Linked DNA regions of Oryctolagus cuniculus. The protein of the gene in region 1 purifies or fractionates together with the protein of each later gene. This does not show direct contact. Links are inferred from orthologs where the notes say so. Each region holds a gene or a part of one and is shown on either strand. Other genes may lie near its edges. The genes, in order: POLR1F and POLR1D.

Evidence for each region.
Region 2: the proteins of POLR1F (region 1) and POLR1D purify together in Homo sapiens (affinity purification with mass spectrometry; 3 studies listed by BioGRID and IntAct, counting the BioPlex papers as one, with this or other methods). This does not show direct contact. The link is inferred for Oryctolagus cuniculus from reciprocal best matches to the Homo sapiens genes POLR1F and POLR1D.

The regions. Positions count from the first base shown.
Region 1 is NC_091447.1:11,735,909-11,750,989, forward strand, and holds the end of POLR1F (DNA-directed RNA polymerase I subunit RPA43), read right to left. Parts: intron 13,857-15,081; coding exon 13,715-13,856; intron 9,349-13,714; coding exon 9,140-9,348; intron 7,859-9,139; coding exon 7,447-7,858; 3' UTR 5,589-7,446; downstream 1-5,588. UniProt on the Homo sapiens protein: Component of RNA polymerase I (Pol I), a DNA-dependent RNA polymerase which synthesizes ribosomal RNA precursors using the four ribonucleoside triphosphates as substrates.
Region 2 is NC_091440.1:86,891,316-86,907,599, reverse strand, and holds the start of POLR1D (protein POLR1D), read left to right. Parts: upstream 1-9,303; 5' UTR 9,304-9,456; coding exon 9,457-9,482; intron 9,483-16,284.

The DNA.
Region 1 (15,081 bases):
GACAATCTAGCTCTCAATTCAATGTGCTTATTTTACAGTTAAACACCACACTCCGTGGAGTTAAAGAAGATTGTTTTAAAGTAAACTCCACGTTGGTGAACCACTGCCATTTAACATGCAAAGTTTAAGAAGTAATGAACTAAAAGTTGGATATGTGTGCCTTGGAGCACTATGCAATGAAGTATTTGTTTAATTATTCATTTGGAAAATTAACATTTCTTCAATATTTCCTGCATATATGCATAAATACTCCCATTTAAACTATGGTGTATTTTTTGATGCCTATAAGGATCTCCTTTAACTGGTAACTGTAACATCCAAGACATTCCACTATTATGAAATACGGTGGGATACAGAATTAACAGGAACTTCTTTGATCTATTAGATTGTATTTAGAGACTTCCTTTCTTGCTCATAATCTCATAAATAAATGTCTAGGTCATTTTATTTACTAATACATTCTCATTTAAAATTTTAAGTCCAGCTGTTAACTAAGACAAGAATTTGGCAAGGTATTTCATCTGTCCTGGCTTTTCCTTTTCGAGTCAATAAGTACCAGAGCATTTCTAATTATATCCGACAAATATGGAACTAATTACCTACAACTATACAGACTACAGCTTATTTCCATTGAAATTTTGGTTGCAGAATTGTTTGCTGATGCTGCTTCTATTCTCAACCACTCTAATTTTATAGCTCACTAAATTTTTGTCTTTCAGAATACTTTCAAAGACATTCAGGACAAGTTATCAAATAAATGAGAATAAGTGGGAACAGGTTTAGCATTCTAATGTTTGAGAAAATGCAACTGAGACTTAAGATGTTCCAATGTACTAAATATTTATTTGAAAGAAACAGAAGACAAAACAATGCCACAAAGCTATTTACTGCTGCCAAGGCAGATCTGGGAGAGAAAATTGTTTAGACCAGACACCCGAACATCTTTTTTTAGTAAGAGTCAATATATACTGAGCTGAACATTTCATGAACTTTCCGTGAATTACCCAGGAGATACGACCAAAAGAAGGTCACATCACTTGCAGAGTCATCCATGACTTTTCAATTTTATTCTTACTGTACAGTATATAAAACCTATTTTAAAACAGTGCTTTGTATATTTAGAAAAACAAAGACATTCTCTAGTGCCTAAAGAATCTTTTTTTTCTTTTACAAAATAATAAGTGCTGGTTCCAAAGGAAATTTCAACTTCTAAAAGTAGAAACCAGAGTTCACCTATGAATACTGCAATGTACAATACAGCTAGAAATTAACAACTTCAAAAGAGCAACTAACAGAACAATGTGGGGGCTGCGGGGCAGCTGTTCAGGAGTTTGAGGTAGCAGGTTAGGTTACCAGGGCTTACATCACAGTTTAGGATGCCCACATCGTATATCAGAGTGCCTGGTTTGTGTCCTGGCTATTCTGCTTCTTGTCCAGCTTCCTTCTAAATGCAGGTTATGGGAGGCAGTAGGTGATGGCTCAAGTATTTGATTCCACGCCAACTGCATGGGAGACATGGATGTAGCTTCAAGCTCCTGGCTTTGGACTGACCCAGCTCAGGCTATTGAGGGCGTTTGGAGACTGAATCTGCAGATGGAATCTCTGACTCCTGGACTTTCAAATAAAATGAAAATGAAAATGAAAATAAATAAGTAAAAATAAAACAATGAAACCTCTTGGAAATTTTAATATTCTTCTAAGTAATCTTTGAGTCAAAGAATTCAAAGGTGAAATTTCAGATTATCTAGACATTAGAAACAATGAGAACACTACATATCAAGCCTTAGGCAGCGCTGTGGCATAGCACGTTAAGCCACAAGGCCCACATCCCATATGGGTGCCAGTTCGAGTCCCAGCTGCTCCATTTCTGATCCAGCTCCCTGCAAATGGCCTGGTAAAGCAGTGGAAGATAGCCCAAGTGCTTCAGCCACTGCAACTATGTGGGAGAAGAAGCTCCTGGCTTTAGCCAGGACTGTTGTAGTCATTTGGGGAGTGACTAGCGGATGGAAAATTCTAACTCTGCCTTCAAATAAATAAATGTTGAAAACAACAACAAAAAAGGGCCAAGGGGATAGATACAAGACAGAGAGGAATATTTTTGGTTCAAATGCTTCTGTTAGTAAATGATAAAGCTTTTAATTAATGGGAACTAAGAATTTAACCTAATAAGCCAAGAGGATTGGAAGGTGGGGAAGAAAAGAAAAAACACACACAAATATAGGATTTTTTTCCCACAAAAGTGGGAAACCTGGTAAATAAAATCAGTGGAGATTTAAGAAGACTAATAAAATAAGCATATTTTAGAATGTCTGGCCAGTCAGGTTAATATAGGAAATCAATCACTTTCTTTCATGCCAGTGAGAACCAGACAGGAAATGTAATGGCAAAAAAATTAATTAATTAATAAAAAAATCATTAGCAAAAGCAATACATGCTACAAAATACAAAATTCCTGAAAATAAGTTTAAGACATATGAAATACCTTAAAAGACAAAAATTTAGTACCACTGAAGGAAGGAACAGACTTGAATAAACAGATTTGCCATGTTTATTGCTAAGAAAAATTAAGTATTTTACAGAATTCAATTGTTCCTCAACTTCTCAATTTGGTGTAGTTCCAAATTCCCTAAAAGCTTTTTTTCCTAATTTTACAAGAAGAATTCTTTCAAAAGATGTATTTGTTTGCAAGGCAGAGCAACAGAGTGATGCTACAGAGAATCCTCTATCTGCTTGTTCATCCCCTTGTCCCCTACCCCCACTCCCTAATGGGCACAACAGCCAAGGGTAGGCCATGCCTAAACCAGAGGCTAGGAACTCCATCCTCATCTCCCACTTGGGTGGCAGGGGCACAACTACTCGGACCATCATTCACTGTTTTCCCAGACACATCAGCAGGTAGCTGGACTGGAAATGTCGAGCAGCCAGAACTTTTTAACTGGCACTCCAATATGCTAAACTAGCATTGCAAGTGGCAGCTTAACTTGCTGTGCCACAAAGTAAACCCCTCAGGTTCCACTTTTAAGTACATCTGGAAAACTAGAAGAGAGGAGCCAATATAATTTTGAAAGCCAGAAATCAAAATGTAACATAAAGCTGTCTATTAGTTTTCTATGGCTATTTGACAAATTGCCACACATTTAGTAGCTTAAAAGAACACCCAAGGGACGGCGCTGTGGTGCAACTGGTTAAAGCCCTGGCCTGGAGTGCCAGCATCCCATATGGGTGCTGGTTCTAGTCCTGGCTGCTCCTCTTCCAATCCAGCTCTCTGCTATGGCCTGGGAAAGCAGTGGAAGATGGTCCAAGTCCTTGGGCCCTTGCACCCATGTGGGAGACCCGGAAGATGCTCCTGGCTCCTAGCTTCGGATTGGCGCAGCTCCAGCTGTTGCGGCCATCTGGGGAGTGAACCAGAGGATGGAAGATCTCTCTCTCTGTCTCTCCCTCTTTGTAACTCTGCCCTTCAAATAAATAAAATAAATCTTTAAAAAAAAAAAAAAAAAAAAACAACACCCAATAGTTCAGTTTTCTATAGGTCAGAGTCTGACAAGAAAAGGGTTCTCTGCTCAGGATTTTACAAGAACGTAATCAGTGTCAGCCAGCTGAGTTCTCTGGAGAATCTGGCTCTTTCTCATCATCGGCAGAATTCTGCTTCTCATGGGCATGGCATGGAAGTCCTGGCTTTTCTGCCAGCTTTGGCTTTAGGGCCACGTGCCCCACCTCACTCTCTCTCCTACCCAGTTCTCCTCATGCTTCAAATCTCACGTCCACTTCTGCTGCCAGCTGCAAAAGAACTGACTTCCAGGGGCTTATGCGATTAGGTTAGGTCTAATCACCACCCTATCTTAACACAACCAAGCATGGGGGTGAAATCTATTTTGGTCCTGAGGGTGACTGTGGGAAATCTCAGGGGCCTCTAAGAGTTCTGCCTACCATAGGGTAGTTAACAGTGCAGCCTTTCAGAACACAGCTGTACATCAGAAGAGAATCAGGACAATTAATAGGGTGTAGAGTGTGGTATAGGCTAAGATAATTCTTCAAATCAAGAGAGAAAATATGAATTAACAAACTGGAGACATGTGGAGCATCAGTGTAGGAAAAACATGAATTTTTGTAGCAAAACATATTCCAATTTCATATGGGCTAAAAATTCAAATGTAAGAAAGTAAAATGATAAATATAAGAAAATATGAGTTTCTTATAATCTCGGGTTGAGAAATGCCTTTTTAAGAACACTGGAATAAGAAAGATTACTGATGACATGAAACCAAACATTTCTGAATAGCAAGTCGGAAACTTAAAAATATAAAGGACTACAAAAATTGAACATGAAAATTAGAAAAACATTATTATCCTAAGAATATACAGAGCTCTTAAAAATGAGCAACAGAAACATCCCACAAGAATGATCACAGAACATGAGAAGATATTCACAGGAAAATAAGTGTATACACAAAAGTGGCTAAATTCATTAATACCAGATAAATTACACACTATTTCCACCTAATAGACTGTTGAACAGTAAAACAATTAGCATCGTCCATGACTGCAAGGTTGCCAAGTAGTAACTGCTAATAGGATCTCAAGCTGGTACAGTTTTCTGGATGACAATCTGACAATATATCAAAAGGTAAAACTGTTTATTCCCTTAAATAACTATAATTTCACTTCTAGGACTAGACCAAATTTCTTCCACTTGGAAGTTTTCCACCTAAGCTATCAATAACAATAAAGGGACTTGAAAACCACATCACATTCAGGCCGAGCAATGAATTCATTTACTGAAACAATGGGTGAAAATGTTATAAATATCACATCAGAGGGAAAATGATACCATTTGATACTGTGCGTTTAATTATCCACTTAAACATTATCTGTTCATGCTTGCAACATATAAAGGACTCACTGCTAAATAGTATAGATGGTTTAAGTGTTGTCACAGACCTTAGGGAGCTTATTTGGTCAAGGCAAACATGATCAAGAGACACTCTTCAAAAACAGGAGAACCAGCTTGAGACAATTATGCAGACTGTTAGAGTAGAAAACAACCAATTGAAGCAAGATATTTTGTTTTAGCCCTGTGCAGTATAGAAAACCTTTACGTGGAAGTTAGTATCTGCAGTCTTCGGCATCAGATGCCCCTCAGGCCTCTGCAGGGCTCTCAGCCAGAAGGCCACAACCCTTCCTCAGCTCCCTTGGTCAAAACACTACTCATCCAATCACCAGCCTGAACACTACCCTCTACTTCAACTGGCCAAAGTGGCTCTCTGCCTGTTCCCATGTGAGATTCCCACTTTCTGTATTTAACATTTACACTTAGCTGTGTACCTTACCGACAAAGCGCTTCTGAAGAATATTATGGAGGACTCTTTCACTGGTTTCTTATCAGAAAAGAGGTCCCTACAATTCCAGGCAGGACAAATGGATAGATCTGACTTTTCGGTTACCCACGCTGTGAAAAATCATAGACAAATCTAGTTTCAAGTTCAGCATGTTGCTTCCTTTTTTCTTCAAAGTTGCAAATTATTTTAAAATTACAGATTATTAGCATTAGTACCACTTGAAGCAAAAGTAAAAGTAACATGAGAGTATGGTTATGTTGCTAAGCCACAATTTATTTTTCTGTGAATAGCATAAATTAGATATCTTTGTGTGGTGTGTACACAATAGGGGGAGTTAAATTTGTTTCACTAAAAATAAATTTTCTACATTGTTGAACATGGTTACAATTATAAATTTAAATTTTACAATTCAGAAGAAGCAGTTATTAAGCATATTCAGGTGTGTCACTGTATTAAACCTTGATAACATAACATTTCACAACTCATACTTCCTTTAAAAGCACTGAACATACCAAAACGCCTTCTGTGCAATTTTTAATCTTTTTATAGAAAAAGAAAATGAAAAATAAAGGCTGAAACTTTATTATTTTATTTAAGCCACTATACCAAAACCATTACAATTTCAGCAGTATAAAAACTGAGAAAGTTAACATTCTTTTTTGTATATTCTCAAAATCTGGCATATATTTTATACTGACATCATGCTTCAATTCAAACTAGCCACACTTCAAGGGCTCACCAGTCATATGACTCTCAATTGTACTGAAAGACGTTGGCCTGCACAGTTCCTATGTACATCTGAAGACAATGATGTATACTGTCCACCACTCTCCAGATTCTATATTCTGCAGGTTTAGATAAGGACATACCACCAGCAGAATTTATTCATCATCAGACATTAAACTGTGAGACTCTGTCTGATCCTAGATAAATGGTATCAAAAATGGTTGACACAGGGAATTCATCCACTTCTGGCAAATACTAACAAAGTAACAAGTATACAGTTTTTTTTTTTTCTTCAAGGCACTTAATAACAATTACTAACATTCCATATGTTCCACATTTTCACAGATGTTGCTCCTGCAATGGAAGGTACCACATCTACCTCATTTGCCTTATATCTCTGGGCCGTAATACAACATTCTGCACTTAGTAGATGATCAAATATCTGCTAAATGAATGAACATGGCTGTGTATTATTAGCCTCCATCAGCTTGTCATTTCACTGCTCTGTGTTCTGCAATTAGTTAAGATCTATCCCACGTTATCACAGTGAATGGCTGTTTTCGCTCCTGAACAGTTTCCAGTGGCCTGTCCCAATAATGAAAAGATATTTCCCATAAGTCACAACCACACTGATCCTGTCTCTGTCAATTTCTCCTCCAACACACAACAAGGTCCAAACAGCTAAGGCACAAAAGACAAGCAGAAGCACACTGCCCTTTTCATCAACCTCAGGCTGGGAAAAGGAAAACAACACAACCGCGGCTGGAAGGAAAGAGCTGTGGACAGTCAGCAGTGGTGTGGGTAACACTCTGGAGACTTCAGAAGCCCTGTGGTAAACCTCTCTGAGTCAAACAGCAGAAATACTGTGGAAACCATGACAAAGGAATACCTAAAGCTCACAGATGTCCTGAATTAAAAAAAAAAAAAAAAAAAAAGGCAAAATAAAATGATGTGCAATGACTCAAGGTAATACTTATACCCCCCCCCCCCAAAAGAAAAATTAAAAAACTCCAAACTCAGGTTGTTGTTTATTGATGTGAACAACAGTGTATACTACAGTTCTCTGTCAGTCTTGAGATTCTTAAAACAATTTTATGTAGAATGTAAAGCCTGGAAGAATGTTAAAGTCAGCAGAGATAGCAGCACTTTTCTGTTGTTCTCCATATAATAAAATGGCCTTCAATAATATTGGGATTCCTCAAAGAAATTTATAGCCAATTTTGTAATTTCAGCCCAAAACCACTCCAATTCCAAGGCAAATACTTCCTGTTTTGTAAGCTACTGGTACACATAACCATTTCATGTCATTGGAAACATTCACTCAGCTCTTTTGTATAAATCAATCTTTTAAAAACTGAGTATATTTAAAATTCACTAAAGAAAGTTACTTTTCCCTCTTCTTTTTAGGTGAACATTCCAAAATTGGGGTAAGTTCAGTCTCCTCTCTGTGTTTTCTCTTCTTCTTTTTCTTTTTGTGGTCACTCTGGTAACCACTAGAGTCACTGCCTTGGAAAACAGGGTCCTGGCCCACATCTTCCTGATGCTTCCTCTTCTTGCTCTTCTTCCTCCGTGGCTCCTCCTCCCAGAGGCCATTCGCGCTCTCAGCAGCCTGCAGGTCTGGCTCTTCATTAGGGGTGACGTCTGCAAACTCCACTGGCTCTGGGTTACCACTGTCCACTTCACATGTCTCTGGATCTTTCTTCTTTTTCTTTTTCTTTTTAGCAGGTTTTTCAATGGCTTCTTCAGTGCCAGTTTCTGTGACTTCTTCAGAAACTTCAGAGCACTTGGGTTGTAAACTGTAATTTCACAGTTTAGAAACATTAATTGAGCAAACAGCAAAACTGAAAGAATGAATGAGATCAAGAATACCCCCAAATGCTAAGATTTTCTAAATAAAGAGGAGTAAACAAGGCATATGCTACAGCATCATTTTCAAATTATCCAGTTCACTGAAATGGCAGTTGGTATTGAATGTGAATTCAACAATGTTAAATTTAACAGTAACAAATTTTTTGTTTCTGAAATATTTCTCCTGACTGTTCTTACATACAAAAATGACAAAAATCTTTTGTCAAAACACATCTAAGAAATTTCACTTTGGCTCAGAAAAATCTGGTCACTGAACATTAACACTATTTGCCAAACCACTGACATTTGATTAAAAAAAATACATTTCCAGTATATATCAGAGTTTCTGGTCCACTATTTCAGTCTTTATTTCAAATTTAAAATAACAGTCTGTCATTCTAGTTAGCTTACCTGGAGGCAGTATTACTTCAAAGTTAATTATTTTATATCACTAAAATAAAACAAGGATTTATGAAGTAGCTTTATGCCCAGAGCTGCATAGTTCTATGCAGTAACACTCTCCACAGACAACTATTTAAATTTAAGTGCTTCTAATGATGTGGCTTAAAACATTTTGTTCCTCAGTTACACTGGTGACATTCCATGCACTTAATTGTGAAGCTTCTTTATGGTGTGTATAGCACATTACTAACATTCAGAAATCCCTATTGGACAGCTGTTTCAGAACTTCAGCTCATACTCTGGTTACTCACTAAGGTAAAATCTAGGAAAAACTGTTAACATCTACACTATTTTTCAGATAGTGTCCACTTTCTCCTCCATTATTAACCATGTTCCCATGGAACCAAGCTGAAGATCAGAGTAATTCATATAAGAAATTCAATATAAGGAAATACAGAAATCAAAATATCTACCTGGCACACAGACGACAATAATAAAAACAAATTATCTAGTTCCAATGATGTAAAAATAAAAGTAATCTACATGTTATACAACATGATTGTGCAAATAGTAGTTTCAAGTTCAGAGCTCAACTTCTTTAAAAAAACAAACTAGAAGATATGAATGATATACTTTTACTCAAATACAGACTAGCGAGCAAGACACAGAACTTTGATGCATTGTCATACGGCTTATGATTACCGTTTAATACTGACATTATGATTTAAAAGCATCACTATTCTTATATATGTTTAAAAGCGAGGTTATGAATTCTGAACTAAGTAGAAAAGATTAAGTATCCCGTGATAATAATGTGACGGACTAACCTAGTGACACTCAGTTTTCCCCGAATGCAGAATACTCCAGCAGCATCGGAATCTAAACGAAATACTTCAAACTCCAGTTCATCACCCACGTCTATCTCCAGGGTTTGCCACTGCTCAGAGGACATCTGCTCAGGTTTAGGGATGGACGCATTAAAACACCCGTGCACTAAACAGCCGATGTGACTAGTGGACACTTTATTAACTGTACCCTGGGGAGAAGGGGGAGGAAAGAGCACAACAGAGATTCACAAGATTAAAAGGTGAATCAAGCTTTCTAAGTTCCAAACAGATCTTCAAAAAGAAAACATCAAATTAAAGGTATACATTCAGCACAAAGTTTATCTCAATTAAAACTTACCACATGTCGTAACCCATAAATCGTACTTTGGAAATTTATATTCATTAAATAAAAGTTAAAAAAAAAAAAAAAAAACAAAAACTTACCGCATGTCAAACTATAACATCACCTTAGAACTCTAGAGTTTTCCGACAGTTCAAACTTTAATAAACAAATAACAGGAAGCCAAGTGTCTAACTGGATAAAACACAGATAGTCCCTTCCACAGCCTTCCTTCCCTCTACCAACAAAAGACACCTCTCTCCCCTTGCAGGATTCCCTGGGGAGCAGATTATGTGACAACCACACTGAAAACATGCTCTGATAGGGCTTACACTCTAGGCAGGGAAAGCATACGCTTTTTATAACTGGAATCCATAGTACTTGTCTATAAACAGTCTGAAATTCAGAGATTACAAGTGTACTCTTTAATGATTCAATTCAGAATGATATCAGCAGTCCTATTAGGAGATAGCTTACCATGTATATGAAAATCTAGACCATAACAATTTTGGCTAAATAACAAAAATATTGGAGGCTTTAAAACTAAAATAGAAGTCATGTGCTATAGGATTTTAAACTTAAAGTGAAACTTTCCATAAAACTTAAGTTTTCTATCCTCCCATCCCTAGGAATCAATGTATACAATGTGTATGAATGACAATCCTGAAACATTAAAAAATTCACATTTTCTAGATTATAGAACCATATGTAATACTGCCATGTATGCAAATCTGTATAACATCAGCAACCCTTAAAAAATGTGACAGAATAAAACTCCCCTATTTGTTATGATCAGGGTGTAGTCTCCCCACTGTGGTTTTTGAATAGTCTAGATAAATTAAGGTGTACCCACAGAACGGAGTACTACTCAGCAACAAAAGGAAAAGCACTGCGAAACCACAGAAAGACTGGAGGAAACCGAAGACTACCAAGTGAGAGAACCAAAAAGGCTACATACTGTATGTTCCCAACAACTGGACATTCTGGAAAAGGTAAAACCATGGTGATAGGCAATAGATCAGTGGTGGCCAGAGACTGCGGGAAAGGAAGGGGTGAACAGGTGGAGCACCAAGGTCTAGGGCAGTGCAACTATTCTGTAATGGTAGATACAAGTCATTTTATATTTGTCAAAATCCACAGAAGGCACAGCACAGACAGAACTCTAATGGAAACTGTGGGCCATTAAACCTCAGACTGAAATGTAAATAAAAAATATGCTATCTCAAAAATAAGAAATAAAATACTGTTTAAAAAAAAACCTCTTTTCTAACAATAGGAAAAAAATAAAAAGCCAATATTGCCTCAAAAACTGTAACAAAAAACTGTAACAAATAGATCACACAAACCAAGAGAAGATGATGCTAAGATGATGTGTGTGTGTGTGTGTGTGTGTGTATACTGGGATCCTGTACAAGCTACTTAACCTTTCTGTAAACCTAAAACTGCTTTACAAATACTCTATCCCTTACAAAAACCAATGAGAGGAAAATCTTTTGAATTCCTAAGTTTGGAACAACTGGAAAGTTTATGGACAAGAAAATGGTCTTACCTCACCTAGACACAAGAAATTATTTAAGACTGATCACATACGCAAATTGAAAAACGAAAACCATAAAGCTTCTAGGAGTTCACAGAAGAGTATCTTCACTACTCAGGGGTAGACAAGTTTCTTTAATAAGATCCAGAAAGCAATAACCAAAAAAATGTAAAATGATAAGGTGGACCTCATTAAAATTAAAAGCTCCTCCATCAAATGATACCATTAAAAGTTAACAAATAAGTCACTGACAGGGAGACAATATTCACAATACTTTTATCTGAAAAGGATTTATATCAAGACTATAAAAGGAGGGGTCAATAGCAGGTAAAGCTGTTGCCTACAATGCCAGCACCCAATATGGGTGCCGGTTGAAGTCCCAGCTGCTCCACTTCCGATCCAGTTCCCAGCTAATGGCCTGGGAAAAGCAGCTGAAAACAGCCCAAGTGTTTGGGCCCCTGCCACCCTTGTGGAAGACCCAGATGAAGCTCCTGACTCCTGGCTTTAGCCTGACCCAGCACTGGCTGTAGCAGCCACCCGGGGAGTGAACCAGCACTCTGTGGCTTGGACTTCCAAATAAATAAATATTAAAAAAAAAAAAAATAAATGAAAATGACAATATAAAGAATATTAAAACTCAGTAACGAAAATACAAAAATTCAGTGGAAAATGGGCAAAGTCTTGAAAAGGCATTCCTGTTCAAACATGGAAAACTGCTCATAAGGAAAAGCAACGGGATATTACTATATGCCCACAAATAAAAATAAAAGATTGACAACACCAAATGTTGGCAATCAATACAGTAAACGGAAGTGCTGAATGGGAAATTAGTCTGACAATAATCTTTCATAAAGGTAAAGATAAACTTACCCTGCTACACAGCACTTCCACTACCAGTTTACTGAAGAGAAATAAAAATGTATATTCATTATTGCTTCATTCATAATAGCCCCAGATTGGACATAACCCAAATGTACATCAACAGAGATAGTCAATTTGTCATATATTCATAAAATTGAATACCATGAACAATAAAAATAGGCAAATTACTAACACAGAAAATATCATAGGCAAAACAAAAGCATGTTGACCTAAAGAAGCCAGATTTCAAACATACAATGATTAAATCCATCAATATCAAATTACAGAAAAATAAAACAAATTTATGATCAATGAAGTCAGAACTGTAGTTGTATTAGGGACAATGAGAAGGAAGTGACCAGAAAAGGGCCTGAAGGTCTAAGGAAACAGAATGGGAAATGAACTTGACAAAACCCACTGAACTGCACAATATCTCATTAAAAATCAATAAAAATTAAAAAACATGATTAGTCAAAAGTATTTGAAGACTGGATCTTGCTGTAGGATTGAAAATAAAAAAGGACATGTTTCATTTAATACTTTTGGTACAATTTGGTATAACACCCATATACATGTTTATGTTTGTGACAATATATACAAAGCTGATGGAAGTTACATTTGGGAACTTTTTAAAAAATTTTCTTTATTTATTTTATTTGAAAGGCAGAGTGACAGAGGGAGGAGAAGAGCCAGAGTGAGCTATTTCCCACAGACTGGTTCACTCCCCAAATGTCCACAATTACGATATGAGCCAAGCTGAAGCTAGGAGCCCAGCACTCCATGCAGGTCTTCCACATGGATGTTGGGGCCCAAGCACTTGTACTATTTTCTGCTGCTTTCCCAGCTGCATCAGTAGGAAGCCAGATTGGAAGCAGAACAGCTAGGACTCAGATTGGAGCTTCAACATGGGATACTGGCATCACAGATGGCTACTTAACTGGCTGTACCACAAGGTCAGCCTTAAGTTTGGAAATTTTCAAGTACAAATCTACTTGTAGTCCAGCTGTGAGATCCTGTTCAGCAGGCAAGGGATCCTATTTCTATTTTAAATAAGATTGATAAGTTTTTTTTTTTTAATTACAATTGCTTTATGGTTTTTGTCATAGTGAAATTGGATCTATATTATTATTAACTGTACCAAATATGTTAACTTTTTACCTATAACATCAAGCAATTTCTATAATTTTTAGAGAACATAAAATATGAACATACATGCACATAAGAACCCATATGTACTGCACATTTACAAACGCATGCTCACACATACAACTTGCGGCAGGAGAGAGAGAAAGAGGATAAAGGGATACATTTCAGTAGATTTCACATCACTTCTCCATCTCCAGCTTCTGAGAAACTGGAAGATCTTCCACCCACTGTCTTCATTCCTACAGCAGAGCCTAGCTGCCTTTTTCTGTCTTTCATTCATTTTCACTTGCCTGCAGGCCCTTCCCCGCCAAACCACTGGAACTGTCTTTACCCGCCTAGCCTTACAATCACCTGAACTGTTTTAGATCCACTATAATACTGTCTGAATCCTTATGAATAAAAAATATTTGTGCAAAATAGAGTAATTTTAAAATAGCAATAATACTAATTAATTTTTCCTCCTAAAATCATTGTGGTACTATGCAAAAAATAAACTGGATGGGACAAATATTCTGTGCATGCATGTGCTTTAGAACTTACCTACATGGAATTCTAGAAAGTAACTTTTCTTTTTCCTTTAACAATTTTTATTCACCCACAATAGCAATTTATTTGAGTCTCAAGGTATAACTGCCAAAGTACATAAAGATATAATCACACAAAGAAAGCTAGAAAAGAATGACATACATACCTTAAGCTTTTGCCCTGGTTCAGGACAGAAAATAACAAAATCGGCTTCAATGTTAAGATGAATGTGTCCTTGATCATCATAAATATCTCCCAGTTCACCCACAACTTTGATGTTATCATATGCTATGGGGACCCCTAAAAGGCTGGTTAAAAAAGAGAAGAATATATTTTATCTTCTTTCAAATCAAGCCATTATCACACTAATTAGATATTCTAAGAGTCCAAAAAGCACACAGTTCTAACAATTTCCTCCCATATCCAGAACAATAGTCCACAGTCTGTAACAACTTTAGTAGTCCCATTTCCCTATGGGTTCCAAAGCAGAAGTTAAAAATATTATTTAGGCTTAAAGTGACTATTTGAAATCAAGCACTCAGAAACAAAATGCCCAATTATGCATGAGCAATAAATTGATCCTTCTTCCTTACCTGCTACCTATTTGAATTCTAGTCATGCTAGAAAGAGAATAATGAGACTTGGCAAGGAAAATGTCAGTGTATTTTTGTATGAGTGAATCACCAGCAATTTTGCTATTATCCACCATTACTGAATTTCTGTTCTTCATGGCATACACCAAGGGAAGCATCAGGGTTAAAGCTGAAGCTCCTGAGCATTAAAGCCAATGATTTAATAGAGAAAAATCCCAAAGTGCAACTTTTGCTGGTAAATGAAAATGTTAAGAAACAGAACGAAATCATTTATTGAGAACCGACTCTGACACGTTAGATTGATCTAGAAGTTTGATAGACAGGATTAGGGGGTAACTATTATTTTAAAATGTCACTTTCCAGGAGCCAGCGGGTAAAGCCACTGCCTACAACACTGGCATACTATAAGGGCACTGTTTCGAGCCTCAGTTGCTCCACTTCCAATTCAGCTCCCTGCTAATGGCCTGGAAAAGCAGCAGAAGACGGATCAAGTGCTTGAGCCCCTGTACCCATGTGGGAAACCCAGAAAGAAGCTCCTGGCTCTTGGTTTCCATTTGGCCCAGCCCTGGCCATTGCAGCTATTTGGGGTGTGAACCAGTGGATGGAACACTTCTCTCTATGTCTCTTCTTCTCCCTCTCTCTGTAACTCTTTCAAATAAATAATTAAAAAAAAAAAAAAACTTCTCAGTTCTTAATGAATTGTAACTACTAAGTAGAAAAACCTTAAGTTTTCACTACCACATCCACAATTACTGTAAAAAAAAACTTCCCCAATTCCTTGGCAAAGCTAAATCACTCCGCCACTCCTATGGAACCTTATGTCCAACTTTATCATATTCATCTAATTTTACTGAATTATCTGCATACATGTTTGGTCTCCACACATGACTGCAATGCCCGTGACCACAGAGAACACTTTTTGTTGTTGTTGTACTCAGTT
Region 2 (16,284 bases), on another chromosome or scaffold:
TAAGGTGTGTTTGTTTTCTGAGGTTAAAGATAGCAGCATGCTTATTATAGGTCAGTGTGAAAAAGTGAGTAAGGAGGAAGCAAGTAAATATTGAGAAGAGGGAGGCCTCTCCCATTAAAGGACGGGGACAGAGCGCTCCCATGGAAAAGTCAGCCATCATCAGGTCTGACACTTAGGTAGTCTGCCAGGAAGGAGAGGGACAGAAACCTGAGAGGAATCACAGCAGATCCTTTCAGTTTTCTCCACGAAGTGATCAGATTATTTACCCACTACACAGAGGTGAGGATTTGGATAAAAGGATTTCTAAATGTTGGGCTCAATCCATGAGTGATGAAGAACAAAATCCTCATTGGAGCTAACAGGGCTTACCTGATCAGCTTCTGCCAGCCTCATCCCAGGCCAGTGTCCCTGCTGTCTCCTACCCACCTCCCATTGCTGCCTTGAGGAAGGTTTCTCTGGATAACACCTACTCAGCCAACTGTTTGTCCCAGGACAACTTCCTCCGGGAAAGCCCCACTGATCCCCCATGAAGACTAGGTTATTTCCCTTCCTTATAACCCAGATAGCACTCCACATCTACGCTGGCCAACAGTAATAACACCTGTGCTGGCCACAAACAATAACACATGTGCCACATGTACAGTTTAAAATATTCTTTTTTTATATTTTTTTTTATTTTTGACAGGCAGAGTGGACAGCGAGAGAGAGAGAGAAAGGTCTTCCTTTTTGCCGTTGGTTCACCCTTCAATGGCCGCCGCGGCTGGCGCATTGCGCTGATCTGAAGCCAGGAGCCAGGTGCTTCTCCTGGTCTCCCATGGGGTGCAGGGCCCAAGCACTTGGGCCATCCTCCACTGCACTCCCTGGCCATGGCAGAGGGCTGGCCTGGAAGAGGGGCAACCGGGACAGAATCCGGCGCCCCTACGGCGACTAGAACCCGGTGTGCCGGCGCTGCAAGGCGGAGGATTAGCCTATTGAGCCGCTGCGCCGGCCAAGTTTAAAATATTCTAAAAGCCACATTAAAAGTAAAAAACAGGTGAATGATTTCCAATATTTAATCAAATGTCCCCAAAATATTATTTCAAGATATAATCAACGTAAAAATCACTAATGAGGTATTTTTATGGTTCTCTGGATACCAAGTCTTCAAAATCAGGCCACATTTCAAAAGCTTAGTAGCCACATGTGGCAAGTGACTAAAATATTGGACAGTACAGTACTATACTATTTCTTCAAAGAACTTATTATGGTTTGTAACTATGTAAGGTCTCTATTATTATTATTTAGAGGATATTATTTATTATATCCTCTAAATTATAAACTCTATGAGGTTACCAGAGAATTCTTAGCTCACTGTCAGAGCACTTGGTTGGTGTCAAATAAACATTTACAAAATTGAGGCAGGTACCTGGCACAGCAGTCAAGCCAACTCTGAGAAGCCTGAACCCCAGGTCAAAGTACTCAGGTTTGAGTCCCAGTTAGGTTCTCCATTCCAGCTCCCCATTAATGCACCCCCTAAGAGACAGCAGATGATGGCTCCAGTGCTTGAGTCCCAAACTGAGTTCCTGGGTTCAGCATGGCCCAGCCTAGGCAACTGCAGACATCTGGGGGGTGAGCCAGGGAATGGGAGATCTCTCTCTTTCAATTAAATAAATTTTTAAAAATATTTACAAAATCGACTGAGGGGAACAGGCAGAGGTGTTTAAGACAATTCCCTAGATTGAGGGCTAGCCAACTAATGTTGTTACCAAAGCAATCCAAGGACAGACAATAGCAGGGTTAATCTGATCAGGGGGCATTACCTGGCAGATACAACACAAAGCCAAATTCAAAGAAGGCATAGAGGGTTGGCGCCATGCTTCACTTGGTTAATCCTCTGCCTGCGGCGCCAGCATCCCATATGGGCGCCAGGTTCTAGTCCTAGTTGCTCCTCTTCTAGTCCTAGTTGCTCCTCTTCTAGTCCAGCTCTCTGCTGTGGCCGAGGAAGGTAGTAGAGGATGGCCCAAGTGCTTGGGCCCCCACACCCTCATGGGAGACCGGGAGGAGGCACCTGGCTCCTGGCACTGGCCATGGCGGCCATTTGGGGGGGTGAATCAACGGAAGGAAGACCTTTCTGTCTCTCTCTCTCTCTCACTGTCTAACTCTAAAAAGGAAAAAAAAAAAAAAAAAAAAAAAAAAAAAGAAGGCATAAGTGCCAGTGAAAGCAGATTCCAGGTACCCAAACCAGGTAGGGAGAGGGAGGACTGCAAGGCCAACAGAAGTCACTGCAACAGAGAGGAGCAGTGGGGTGGAATAAAGGGATTGGCAAAGCAGGACTCTGAGGAAGGGCTCTGTAAGACAGTGTGGGCAATACACAGCTTCCTCGTGCAGGAGACAGTGGTATGTAAGTTTAAGGACTCTAATGTGGAAAATCTGGGGAACTGACAAGGTACCAAATAAATGTTAATGACACGGTAGAAATGAAGGTCACCGAAGTTGAGGAACCAGGGAATTCGAAGACAGAGGTTTTAGTCACTTTGCTTTGAATGATTTACCTGTGACTGAATGTCAAGATTTTAAGTTCTCCAAGGACACACACACAATCTTGCATGCCACACAGTCCAGTGTTGATCACAAGATGTATGTTAGGGACTTGTTATATATAATTAAGTTGAAAGCCAAAGTTCAAACAGTAAAATCACATAGGAGAAAAAGTGGCAATGGTCACATTATTGAAATAAGATTTAAGTGAAAGGCTCCAATTTATTTGTTCAATAGTTATTTGTGTGGTTTAGCTGATAAGCGTTCTGATAAAGAATTAAATTTTAAATTTAATTTAAGATTGGCAGCTAATAATCCCAATCTGGAGGAAGGGTGTGTGAATAGTTTCAAGACTTGCCTTACTTTTATGTGGAAAACAAAGTAACAATTAGCGTTTTCAGGTCCTTAGTAGAGCTAAGTACATCCTATTTTACATAAGACAGGGGTCTTCAAAACTTATTATAAACACTTTTTTACAATGGCCCCAGTTACACACTTTAGGGAGTTTTGTTACTTAATCAAACTACAAGATTACTCTTTCAATACAGAAAAAAAACTAAAATTTCACTGGTTTTACTGTTGAAGGCAATATGCTTTTTAAATACTTTCTAGCATGTTGCTTGTCTATTATTTTCTATACTTGCTTCTATTTGTCTTCTCCTACTCAGCCTAATATTGAGGAAAAAAAATAACTTTTTCTTCACATAATTAGTTCACTGAGGGATACTGACTGCTAGCAGTAATAGTCCTAAGTCTCCAGGCTGTGAAGGAAGCTAAAAGGTTAAGCCACTGCACACAACACTGCCATAGCTATCTTTCCTCTATCGGAAAAGACTCCCAAAGACCTGGCGTTTTGCTGACGACCCAGAGAGGTCAAACTTCCAAGGCAGCTGTTGTCAGTCTACCTCGGAATAAAGCTGTATGGCTATATAAGGCTGTTCCTCCTTACCGCACTCCACAAGTATGGCAATAAAAAGGAGGTTATGCAAGTAATTACTGCATCTGGTGCTAAAACAGTTGAATCATGACAGCCATCAATTCTGTTACAGTTCCTGCGTCTTCCAGTAAGTACATGAAGCACTTGAAGCTTCCTTGTTCAATCAATTCTCTCTTTTCCTCTTATCAAAGATTGGAGAAGTCTGTGAGTCAATACAGATCAAAGCTAATAAATCCAATTCATTCATTTTTATGTAAATTAATATCTTCTGTTCCATATGCTTTGAGATTCTGCAGTAAGCAGAACAGATGGGATCCCTGCTCTAGGAAGCATACTTTCTAAAGAGCAGAACCTACAATGCCTGCTTCCTTAAGAGCACCCTAAATAACCACAGGACAATTTATTATTGTAATATACCATCACGAGCATTTGCTTTTTAAAAATAAAATCCTCAGAGATCAGAGTTGGGGTGCAACAGGTTAAGCCACCACCTGTAATAATGGCATCCCATATGAGTCCTGGTTAGAGTCCCAGAAGCTCCACTTATAATCCAGCACCTTACTAATGTGCCTGAGAAAGCAGAACATGGCCCAAGTATTTGTGCCCCCACCACCCATGTGGGAGACTCAGATGTAGTTTCAAGCTCTTGTCTTCAGCCAGGCCCAGCCCTGGCATTGGGGCCATTTTGGACGTGAACCAGCAGATGGAAGATTAATCTCTCTTTCACTCTCTCTCTCTGAAACTGTGCCTTTCAAATAAAAGTTTAAGAACTTTTTTTAAAATCCTCTAATAATGTCCCATTAGACTAATATAAAAATAGCCATTTTTTTCTGAATTCAATCAAGCAAAGAAACTTACGTAGCCATAGATTTTTCTCTCGCTTAGTACTTTGAGGGAAAGAAACAAGACAAGACAGCTAAAGGGGATTTGTTTGGTAAAACTTCCAGGCCTTGTCACAGGATCACCCTAGGCCTGTTTTCTACAGGCAAGATATACGCATTATGTTTTTCAACCAACACTGCTTCATAAGTGGTGTGGAGTCTATGAAATGAGATCTTCTCTATCAAAACCCAACAAGGTCTTTGAGAAACCTTGTTGGGTTTTGATAGGGAAGGTGGGCTTGGAAGGAACTGTGGTGCAATAAGCAAGAGGAAAGGCTAAACGGCTCTGCATAATAAATTTAAATGTATTTTGATTTTTGGAGGGCAATCAGAGAAAAAAAATGGAGCAGGGAACAGTGCCAACTAGATTATATGAGCCTGGAGTTTTCCTTTGTTGGTGGCCAAATTCCATTTTAAGCATAGAGACACTTGCTTTTAAATGTTAACACTCATGGTACCACTACACTGTAAATCTCATTTGCTTCGTTTTCCCCCAAATCTTCCATAAAGTTCAAAGGCTTTGTGTGAACTCTTTTTTCCATTCTTTTCCAGCTCTTCCTGGACATATGTAATCCAACAACTGCTCTTCAAGCATCCAACTCGGTATGTTGTGGGTGTATCCAAAACTGACTGTGTTATCCTGCCTTCCCCACCTCTACCATAAGCTGTTTTTGTTTTTTGGTTTTTTTTTTTTTTTTTTTTTGACAGGCAGAGGACAGTGAGAGAGACAGAGAGAAAGGTCTTCTTTTTCCGTTGGTTCACCTCCCAATGGCCGCTGCGGCCGGCGTACTGCAGTCGGCGTACTGCAGTCGGCGTGCTGCGGTAGGCGCACCGCGCTGATCCGATGGCAGGAGCCAGGTGCTTCTCCTGGTCTCCCATGCGGGTGTAGGGCTCAAGCACTTGGGCCATCCTCCACTGCACTCCCGGGCCACAGCAGAGGGCTGGCCTGGAAGAGGGGCAACCGGGACAGAATCTGGTGCCCCGACCGGGACTAGAACCCGGGGTGCCAGCGCCGCAGGCGGAGAATTAGCCTAGTGAGCCGCGGCGCTGGCCTATAAGCTGTTTTTACTGCTCCTTCTTATATCCCCTTGCCCTCTACTCTCTCACTAATGTCATCATCACTAAAGGAACAACTAATATTTATTAAGCACTTGACTGTTCCAAGGGAATTTACATGTGTAATTTCAGTTGATCCGCAAACACTAATAAACAGGTACTAGGATCATCTCCGAAATGTTAGGAAATCCAAACTCGGGACAGGAATCCTAAGGGAAGGTGACAGAATTAGAATTCAACCCCTGTTCTGACTCCAAAGCCAGCTTAACCTGTATACTGTACATGCCAATGCCTCAAGTCAGAAAACCCAGGCATTATCCTTGTCTCATTAGTCTTGCCCACTTACCTAGTCCAGCCTCCTAGCCATACCTCCTAAATGCCATATCACCTGTCCTGCCATTGCCTTCATACAGAAAGACAATTAGTATATACTAAGTCCTCAATGCATGCCACACACTATTCTAATATACAGAATTTTGGGGTTTCTTTTACATTTTAGTCCCTCGAGCCCTATGAGATGAAGAACCTACTGAACAAAGAGGTTGTGCAGTAAATGACACAGCCAAGTTCAAACCCAAATATCTAAATAAAAAGCCCCTGAGGACTTAACCCCTACATTCTAACAACCTCTGACTTTGTCTCCCTACCTCCCACCTGGATGCCCATCCTCCCCCAGGCCACTGCAGATATCTTTCTGGAACGCAAATGTTATGATATTTCCTTGCTTAAAAATTAGCAGCTCTATATCACTGACTGGATGAGGTCCAAATTTTCTAATTCGTTATGCAAAATCCTCCATTTTTCTGCTGAAGTCAGTTCAGTAAGCATTTGAGTGCCTGCTGTAAGCAAGGCAAAATGCTAAGTCTGAAATGAGTAACATACCACCCCTGACTACTACTTCAACTACAGACACTGTGTCCCTTGGTGAAGCTGACCAAACACAGATTTCATAAAGCAACTCTCTAACACATGCAGCCACTTGCAAGGGGCATGTATGTCAGTCCCTTGGCCTAGGCTGTACCTGGTAAAATCCCACACCAACCTGAAGAGTGCCCATGTGAGGCCTCCTCTAACAAACCCCAGGCAAATGCTCCATCTTCTAAGTTCCCATAGCACTTTGTTCAAGTTACTTTCTGATAAGCAGTGGACCAGAGGTGAGGACCAGCTTCCAAATGAGAGTTCGAGCAACTTCTGAGCAAGAACTGACCCTGCCATCAACGCCTGGCATGCAGTAGGCATTTTATCAGTGGTTTGAATGAATAATGAAAAATTCCAAAATTTCATGAAGAGAGGAACAAGATACAGAATTAAGAATGTTGACACACAAGTGGGCCAAATAAAGAGCAGAGTTATTCTACTTTGGCTCTGACTTGGCCTAGATTTTATCCCTATGGGAAAACTCACATATGAGAGTTGGACAAGCTAAAAAGGCCAAACTTTGTTATTCCTGGCTCAACAAAGCTCTGACAGGCCCAACAGGATACTAGATCCCTCCTCCCCCTTCCTCCTTTACCTGCCAAAGTCCTCTTTCCAAAGGGCTGTGGGGGTGGGAAACAAATCTTTCAAAGTGCATTAAAATTGATCCACTGGTATCCAACTGCATCAGTGCTGTGTCACAGTGTGTGCAACAGAAAAATCAAAATCTTTCCTGGGAAGAAGGCCAGTTTGCAAGTAAGTACTATTGCCTCAAGAATGCGAAATTCCTAGTGAGGCCAGTTCCAATAAACTGGAGCTCACAACTGTTCCTCCTGCCCTAAGACCACTTTTCTTTCAACTTCGTTTCTGATTCTTGTGATTTAAAAAAAAAAAAAAAAAAAAGGAAAATCTATACAGGGAAGCCCATGCATGAATGTACTTTAACTCTAGGCAAATCCAAAAGTCAGGATCCATAACTGAAATACTATTAGAAACCCTACATCTAAGTTGGAAGTAGTTGTCTAAGACGTGGCATAAAGAGAGGGATGTGTTTCCTGAATGCCTCATGTTGCTTTGTGTGCAATGCTTCCAAATCAAGATCCGTATTTTGAAATTACCCCCAGGAGTTCGTCTCCAGCCTGAGGATTCCTGGGCAACAGGCTGGGGCCGATGTCCCTCCACTGCTTTCCAGGGGCACGAAATCCGACGGGGAAGCAGCTGGAGCCACACTCATTCCCAACACACACGCGAAATTAAAAAAAAAAAAAAAATCACCACCACCTCTGGTCTCCCCTAAAGAGCAAACGACGCAAAGATCCGCACCGCGGTGGCCAGAACCACCCAATGCCAAACCCCGGGCCGCCCGCCTTCCACTCGCCAGCCGGGCGCCGGGCGCCAGGAGCCAGGCGCCGGGCAGCCGTCCCCTCCTCCCCGGACCAGCCTGGCCAGCCCCGCACTCGGCTCCGCGCTGGCCCCGCAGCCCAGGCGAGCAAACGGAGCCGAGGAGGACGGCGGCTCGAGCGCGGGCTGCGGCGCTGCCCCACACCCCGCACCTGAGGCGGCTGCCGGCAGCCGGCGAAGAGAGCGCACGGCGGGGAGGGCAAGGCAAAGTTACTCACTGGGAAAGCGCGGCTGCCCGGGGCGCGCAGGGGCTCCCGGCGCCGCAGCCAGGCGCCAGCTCCCGCTCTCCGCGGCCCGCCGAGGGAGCCGGGAGTCGGCCAGGCTCCGCTCCTCCGGGAATCGCCGCCGCCGCAGTCGCGGGTTTCCCGGCAAGAAGCAAACTCTGGCCAAGACTTCACTTCTCAACCGCCCCTGCTGCCTTCCCGGGGGCGAGCGCCGGGCTGAGCGGCCCAACCCGACACGCTGCTGGGCCAATCGGCGGCGCCACAGGGCGGGGAGGGGGCGGATCAGAGGCGGATCCACCTATCAGAGAACGCAGGGGGCGGACCAGGAGGGGCCGTCATTCCTAGGTTAGAGTGAACCTACTCCGTCCCTCGCCCCTCGCCCTCCCCCACCCGCCTGGGGCTGTCCCCGCCGCTCGCCTGATTCCTCTGTGGAAGGCGCTCGGCAAGTGTGTGAGCGAGCGCCGGGCAGCCGCGGGGACAGCGGGACAGCTGAGCAGGGGACGCACGGAGCGGGGTGGGGGGAGGTCGAGGGGAACAGGTGGCGCGGGAGAGCAGGCGTGTAGGTGTGCTGGGCGAGAGGACAGCCGGGGTAGAGGGCAGCGACCGGGGCTGGCCGGCGTTAGAGAGGTTGCGGGAGCCGGGGGTGAGCAGCGGGGAGCAGCACTGAACACTCCCAGAGAGGAAGGGGCCGGAGAGGGAACCCCGCCGAGGAAAGGCTGCCGAAGCGGGGTAGGGGACGCCTGGGAACAAAGATGAGAGGGAGGTTCCCCGGGGGTGGGGTGCAGAAGGGGTAAAGAAAAGGGTGGAAGGGAGGTGCATGGCCGGGGGAAGGAAAGGACGGGGTGGGTGAGTGTGCTCCCAAACTCCCACTTCTCCCCTAAGGAAAACGGTAAACGCTTGTCCTGTGTCCCGGGGGAGATGCTTAGCTGCAAGAACCCCACTGAGTACTGTCTTGAAGCACCACGTTCTGTTAACGAGACTCAGCCCCTCCTATTTAAGGACGGTATAGCCCAAGCCTGCGGTCCCACAAGAGGTTGGATTCCCGGGAGGCCACAGGGTTCCAGTCGAGTCTAGCAGGCCGGACTTGGGTCCCAAGAAGGGAGGTGATGTGGGGGCGGCAGGTAAGGCCCTGCCCCCTTCGCCACCAGTTGGGGAGACGGTACCAAAGGTGGAGCTCGGGCGCACGCACTGTGACCGGGGCCTCCGGGTGCGACGCCAGCGGGCCCTCCGCCGCCCTCCTCCCGGCTCGCCCCGCACGCCGCCAGGCTGGGGGCGCGCCAGGTGAGCGGCTCGGGCCCGGCGCCACCGCCCTCCTCGCGCCGGGGGCGGGGCCGGGGGCGGAGCCTCCACGTCCCGCCCAGCGCCCGGACCCTGCCGCGCCGCTGCGGCTCCTCCTCCCTCCTTCCGTCGCCGCCTTCTTCCGTCCGTCGTTCCTTCCTTCCTGCCTCAGCCGCTCAGCTCGCGGCATGGGGCAGAGCCTCCGATCGGCCAGCACCACCTGAGGATCCTGGAACCGGCACCCGCGATGGAGGACGACCAAGAGCTGGAGAGGTAACGGCCGAGAAGGCGGGCGGGGCGGGCGGAGTAGGCCGCGCCCAGGCAGGGGAGCGGGCGGTACCGGGCACGCGGCCCGGCCCGGGCCTAACCTCCGCGGCCCTGCAGAGCAGCAGGGGCCCGACCCGGGACGCTGAGAGAGGGAACAGGGCCCGACGGGGAGGAGAAGGGAGGAGTCGTGGATGTGTTTGAATAGAGGCGCTCCGAGGGACAGTAGTTCTCGAGGAGGGCGGACCAGTTGGCAGAGCAGAGTTGGGTCCCGAAACTGCCCAACCCCGTTAGAACAGCGGCGTATTCAGTCCGGCTTAAGCCCCCCCGTCACTACCGCTCTCCCTCCTCCTCCGTGCAGACTGTTAGCCGTGTAGCCCTGCCTCAAAGCGCTGAGTTCTGTTTCTCCCTCCCGCTGTACTGTTTCAGCTCTTACCGTTTCCTAGCTTCCTTACCTCTTGCAAGTGGAAGCCATAGTTGGGCCTGCACATTGATAATCTGTAGTCTCTGTTTATATGCTGGAGCAATCTTGTGTTTTTCTACACCTTCAACTCCCTTTTCCTCTTCCAGCAGGGCTCACCCTATGCTATATCCCTTTCTTGTGACTCTTCCAAAAGAAATGTCTTTGCAGACACTTAAGTGTATGTTTTTCTAAGAAGATGCTCCGTGTGGCCCACGTGGATAGTTAATGGAGCAGGGAGAAACTGGAGTCAGCAAATTAAATATTCATTGGTAGAAGTGGTGGAGGCAGAAAAGAGAGAGGCTGACAGTTCTGTGTGTAATTGCTGTGGATTAGAGTAATGATGTGTGGCAATTGTGATATAGTAAATGAAAAAAAAAGCTAGTTACAATATTCAGTATGATCTCACTTTTATAAAAAATATGTGTGTAGAAAAATGTCTGGATTGAAGACCTCAATGGCCGAAGGCGAGAGGAAGACAGCCCTGGAAATGGTCCAGGCAGCTGGAACAGATAGACACTGTGTGACATTTGTTTTGCACGAGGAGGACCATACCCTAGGAAATTCTCTGCGTTACATGATTATGAAGAACCCGGAAGTGGAATTTTGTGGTTACACTACGACCCATCCTTCAGAGAGCAAAATTAATTTGCGCATTCAGACTCGAGGTGCTCTTCCAGCTGTTGAGCCATTTCAGAGAGGGCTGAATGAGCTCATGAATGTCTGCCAACATGTGCTTGACAAGTTTGAGGCCAGCATAAAGCACTATAAGGATCAAAAAGCAAGCAGAAGTGAATCCACATTCTAGTCCCTTGTGCAGGATACAAGGAGGACTAATCTCTGGGATACTCTTCTTCATGATTGTGCAGAACCCAGAATTAGAAGTTTGTGATTACAACAACCTGCTCTATCTTTCCAAAAAAAAAAAAAAAAAATGGTTCTAGCTGTTGACCCATTCATCACAGCTGTTGGAATCCCCGCAAGAACCTGTGTATTCTCCTAATAAATTCCCTCTTTTATTGAAACTATTTTTGAGTGGTTTCTGTTCCTTGCAACATCCTCAAGGATGACTTTATTTGCTTGCAGTAGAGCCAACATTTAAAGTGATAAAACAGAGCATCAGGCACCCAAAATAGTGGTTTCATCATGGGAATCAAAAGGAGTATACATTCCTGACTAGGATTGGGGTGGTGAGGCAAAGAGGAGATGGAATAGACCATTACGCAGATAGACTGGTGGGTTTCAAAAAGAAAGAAGGTCAGGATGTGGACTTGGCTTCTTAGATATTTTACTGATGAGAAAGTTGTATCCTTTTCTCTTAGGGGATTGGGTAAGGTTAGGGAATAATTTGAAAGAATTTTGAGAATTCTGGTTTCACATGAGGGTCTCAGGAGTTATCCAGCTCCATCTTTGTACCATCTATAGAATAATTGTTTACTGCCTGAGGAGAAACCTGGAATGAGCAAATTACATTTTTAGTCTAAGTAGGTATCCAACTGTAGCCTAGGGTCATATAGAAGAAACACTATTTGAGAGAAAGGACACAGAGGGAAAATACCATGTGGAGAAAATGACTTGGAAAACTTGAAATATTAGTGAAATCACATCCAAGAGCCATTGTATCTGTCTACATCTTCAACATCTTTCATACCAGTCATACCAGAACTTCCTTCTTCAATTATCCTAAATACCTGTCAACCCTAGAGCCTGAGCACTCCCATATCCCAATGCACTGTGCTTTGGGGCCTTAGTTGATCCTATTTATTCGTGTGATCCTGGGACCTAGCACAACACTGGACAGCAGGTGGACACTTAGTAAATATGAGATGAATCCCTGTAGGTAGTTATGGCATGTTAGCTTTTCAGTAACTCTTAGTTGAGCTGCCCTAGAGCCTCTTTAAAGATATTTATTTATAGAGCTTCTGGTTTGTACCTTGGGGATAGGTATAATAGTGAGACACAATAAGTGTTGCATAAGAGAAACAATATTTTTAAAAAGTTGTAATTCTGGGGAAGAAAATACAATATCAAGATAGAAAGCATGAGAGAGAATTTTGCTTTAGGTATGGAAGTCAGGGAAGCTCTTCCCAAGATTACAGGAAGAGAAGGCTCTCATGATGGAAATTAACATTGTGAGGGAATAGCATGTACAGAGGCCCTGAAGCAGAAAACTAGTGGTCTGGGAAACTGAAGGTATTGAAGGAAGATTTGATTGTAGGCAAGTAGGCAAGGATGAGGCCTATTCTCTGGACTGATGGGAGAAAGCTGGTGTGATGGGAATGACCTCTTGATTATAGTGAGGGGAAATGAATTATAGAGTGGTCAGATTAATGCAAAGACAGAACTGTAAGAGTTGAAGCAGCCTGGTACAATTAGAAGCCTATGATGGGGGAAAGAGTAGAATTTGGAACTGAATTGGTTGTACCAATTCAGGGATTGGATATGGAAGATGAGAAAATAGAAAGATGACTTACTGAGGTTAGGGCCCTAATTACTGAAATGAGAATGCTCAAAGAGGCAAAAAGGATGGGAGGTGGGAAAAATGATAGGTGATCAAATTTCTTCTTTGAACTCCAGAGGTTGTATTTATGTGAATTGAAGGTCAAGGAAGAGATCTAAGCTGGAGATAAGCTAATAAGATGATAATCCATAAAAAGTGAGTGACAGAGAGGTGGGCCCAGGACCAAGCACTTGAACAACCTCAGTATTAAAGTTTGGATAAAAGAGGGGCAACTGGTGAGGTGGTAGGAAAATGCAGAAAGTAAGAGTTGTGGAAGAGTTTCCAAGAGGGGAGAGTGATGTTGGATGAATCAGTTGAGCACAAAAAAATAGTTGGAGTTAAGGTGGAGGTCGCTGGAGGATGGACAGGGTTAGGGTTAATTTAGTGCCAGAGGGGAGTAAACACTCCTTCTCCAGAGGAATTGCTTAGTTTGAGGCTTCGCAGACAAGGAAAATTTACAGAGGATAGTGGAGAGGTAGATTTGGGTAATAGCAGGGATTAGGAAAGATCAAAAACATGGAGCAAGGAGGTAGAATATTTTCCTAGGGCAATGTAGATTCTGGAAAACCAATGTCAGTATACGGGCATTAGCACTTAAAAGATGCAAGGACACCCAAAAGTGCGAAGTAGAAAAGGAACAAAAATTTCTTTGCCACTCCCAAAATTTTGCCCATGGTTGGACCTGTAGAAATAGTAAACAGGATTCTTTGCCTGCAGTTTTAATTTCTTTGAACCAAAGCCTGTCAGGAGATGGAAACAAAATCCAATTAGTAAACACAGAATGATCATAGTAGACTGAACTAATAATAAAGAGTATACATGGAAAAGTGCACCCACAAGTGACTACCCACCACATTTTGATCATGCCTAAAAGGGTTTATTGTCATTGATCATGTGGCATGTGGTCTTGAACCTGGGGTAGCCTTGAACACAGGTTCATATAAAACACCTTCAGATGGCAGATGGGCCAAGGGAAGAAACAGGGCAGGATAGCCAAGTGTCCCACATATGTGAAAGGAATCACTGTGTGAAGTCTAGGAATCGAGGGAAATCTCACTTTGTCTACACAAGGATGAGGAAAAAGGATGTGTTATATTTGTATATTCTGTGAGAAAATACCTTGATCATGTCTCTGATTTGCTCTCTTACTAGCATTTCACAAAAATCATTCAAGGTCAGAAATTCTGTTCAGCTGTGAATTATGCTTTTTAAAGAGCCAATTATTCAACAATATGATTACATACCAAAGGCTTTTAATACCTAATTCTGAGTACTTACCTAGCACTTTCCATTTTCAAAGCACTTTAAAAACTAATTATTTATAAATTGCATGTAGCTATAACACCTAAGTGTTCTAAATTAATAGACATAACACACAGGTTCCTATAAAATCTCTGTGGAGGTGAAAAGGTGTCTACATAAAAAATGACCCAGTCAGTACTAATCCAAAGTGTGTCTTGCATTTCAAGAAATACGAAAGCATATTAAGTTCTGTTTCCCACTCTTTCTGTTTCCCTTAATTATTTGTTAATATTACAGTCTGCAGATCACTGGACAAAAGTCATCTTTTAGGTTAGCATAATTTAGAGTTGGAGGCAATCTTTGTGCCACCTTCAAAATGAGCTCCCAGAAGTTTACCCAAATCTACCTGTCTGCTTTGAAGTATTTGTAAAGGCCTGCAGTTCCAGACCTTTTCCACTCAAATTCTCAATGCTGATTTTCATTTTGCTACTTTTAAAATTCATAATCTGCTGCTATAGTTACTGTGTGGTTATGTATTTTTTTCATAATGCAATTCAAGAGTTGTACATATGAAAAAGAAAACAAATTGTATTTACAGTGAAGTGACCTAATGTACTGTACAGGGGATTATGACTGGATGTACAATGGAATAGATGAGAGATGATTGAAGAATTGATTGTAATGAGCTCCCACTCTGCCAGTCACTGTCTTGGCACTGAGGATAGCAAACCAGACAGGCACAGTCTGCCTGTTAGTAACTCACAGAGTTAGAAAGTTGGCATAAAATTGTGTTGCAGAGTAAATGATTTCCTCTTTCCCAGAATAAAGGAGCTATTAATGGTGCTTGAACTAGGAAGTGTCATAAGTTTGGGTTTTTTGACCCATGCTTATGCAGAAAGGATGATTGGAAGGAAACACAGGAGGACAGCAGGGAGTTAGGTTGCATTTGGAATAATCCAGGGGTAATGAAAGGAAGGTATAATTGTAGCGATGGAGATAAAGGATGAACATAAAACTCTGCTGAAAAATAAGTAACTTAAGAATCAGATTCTGTATAGAATTAAAGGTGAGAGAACGGTTGAAAATGACCCCAGAATTCTTGGGAGCCCCATATCCATGTTCACTTACCCCTTTATTTCTCTGCCATTCCCTCAGACCAAAAAGCACACCAGTATTTACCATCTCCTCTCCCCTACAGTCTGTTCCTACTTAGGAGAGTCAGTGGAAATGGGAGCTGTAGTCAGGAATAGAACTCAAATACTCTCAATAGGATATGGGCATCTTAACCCTAGGCCAAATGTCCACCCCTGTTCTATAATATTGACCAAGTACTATATGCAGATGCAGTTTAGGGACTAGGAATACAAGGAACAGGTTGGCTCACATGTGGTTTATTTTCTAATATCAAAGACAGAAAATAAAGAAACATGGATACATATATAATCCAATTTTAGTTAAAAGAGGAAGTGAAAGAATGATAGCAGTGAGAAATTGAACAATTAGTGACAATTAAGTCATTTATTTGAAAGGCTGAGTTACAGAGAGGCAGAGAGAGAGGGAGGTCTTCTATCTACTGGTTCACTCCCCAGATGGCCACAACGGCCATCAAACCAGGAGCCAAGAGCTTCTTGTCCACCATGCAGCTGCAGGGGCCCAAGGACTTGGGCCATCTTCCACTGCTTTCCCAGGCCATAGCAGAGAGCTGGATCAGAAGTGGAGCAGCTGGGACTTGAACCGGCGCCCATATGGGATGCCAGCACCACAGCACTGTCCCCAAGGCTGTATCATTTGAGCAGAGAAAAGGAGACCAAAAACGAGAGTGACGCCCAGAATTTTAAAAAGAAACCTTAATATTATGAAACTTTTGAAAGAAATAAGCAGTTTAAATTTGTGTCTCTGTATGTGTGTATGTTTTTTGTTTGTTTTTTGTGTGTGTGTGGTTTTTTTTGTTTGTTTGTTTTTTTTGACTGGCAGAGTTAGAGACAGAAAGTTCTTCCTTTTCCATTGGTTCACTCCCCAAATGGCCACCACGGCCTGTGCTGTATTTCCTCCTGGTCTCCCATGTGAGTGCAGGGCTCAAGCACTTGGGCCATCCTCCACTGCCTTCCTGGGTCACAGCAGAGAGCTGGACTGGAAGAGGAGCAACTGGGACAGAATCTGGCGCCCCTATGGCGACTAGAACCTGGGGTACCTGAGCCGCAGGCGGAGGATTTGCCTAGTGAGCCGCGGCGCCGGCCATGTGTATGGTTTTTATTAGCGCCTAAATGTGTGTTGCTTTTAATCTATGTGTGTATTTTTTAAAAATTTGAGGGGCTGGCTCCCTGGCATAGTAGGTTAATCCTCTGCCTGCGGCACCAGCATCCCATTTGGGCACTGGTTCTAGTCCTGGCTGCCCCTCTTTTAATCCAGCTCTTTTGCTATGGCCTGGGAAAGCAGTGGAAGATGGTCCAAGTGCTTGGGTCCCTGCACCTGCATGGGAGACTGGGAAGAAGCACCTGGCCACTGCTTCGGATTGGCACAGTTCTGGCCATTGTGGCCGTTTGGGGAGTGAACCAACAGAAGGAAGACGTTTTTCTCTGTCTCTCCCTCTCACTGTCTGTAACTCTACC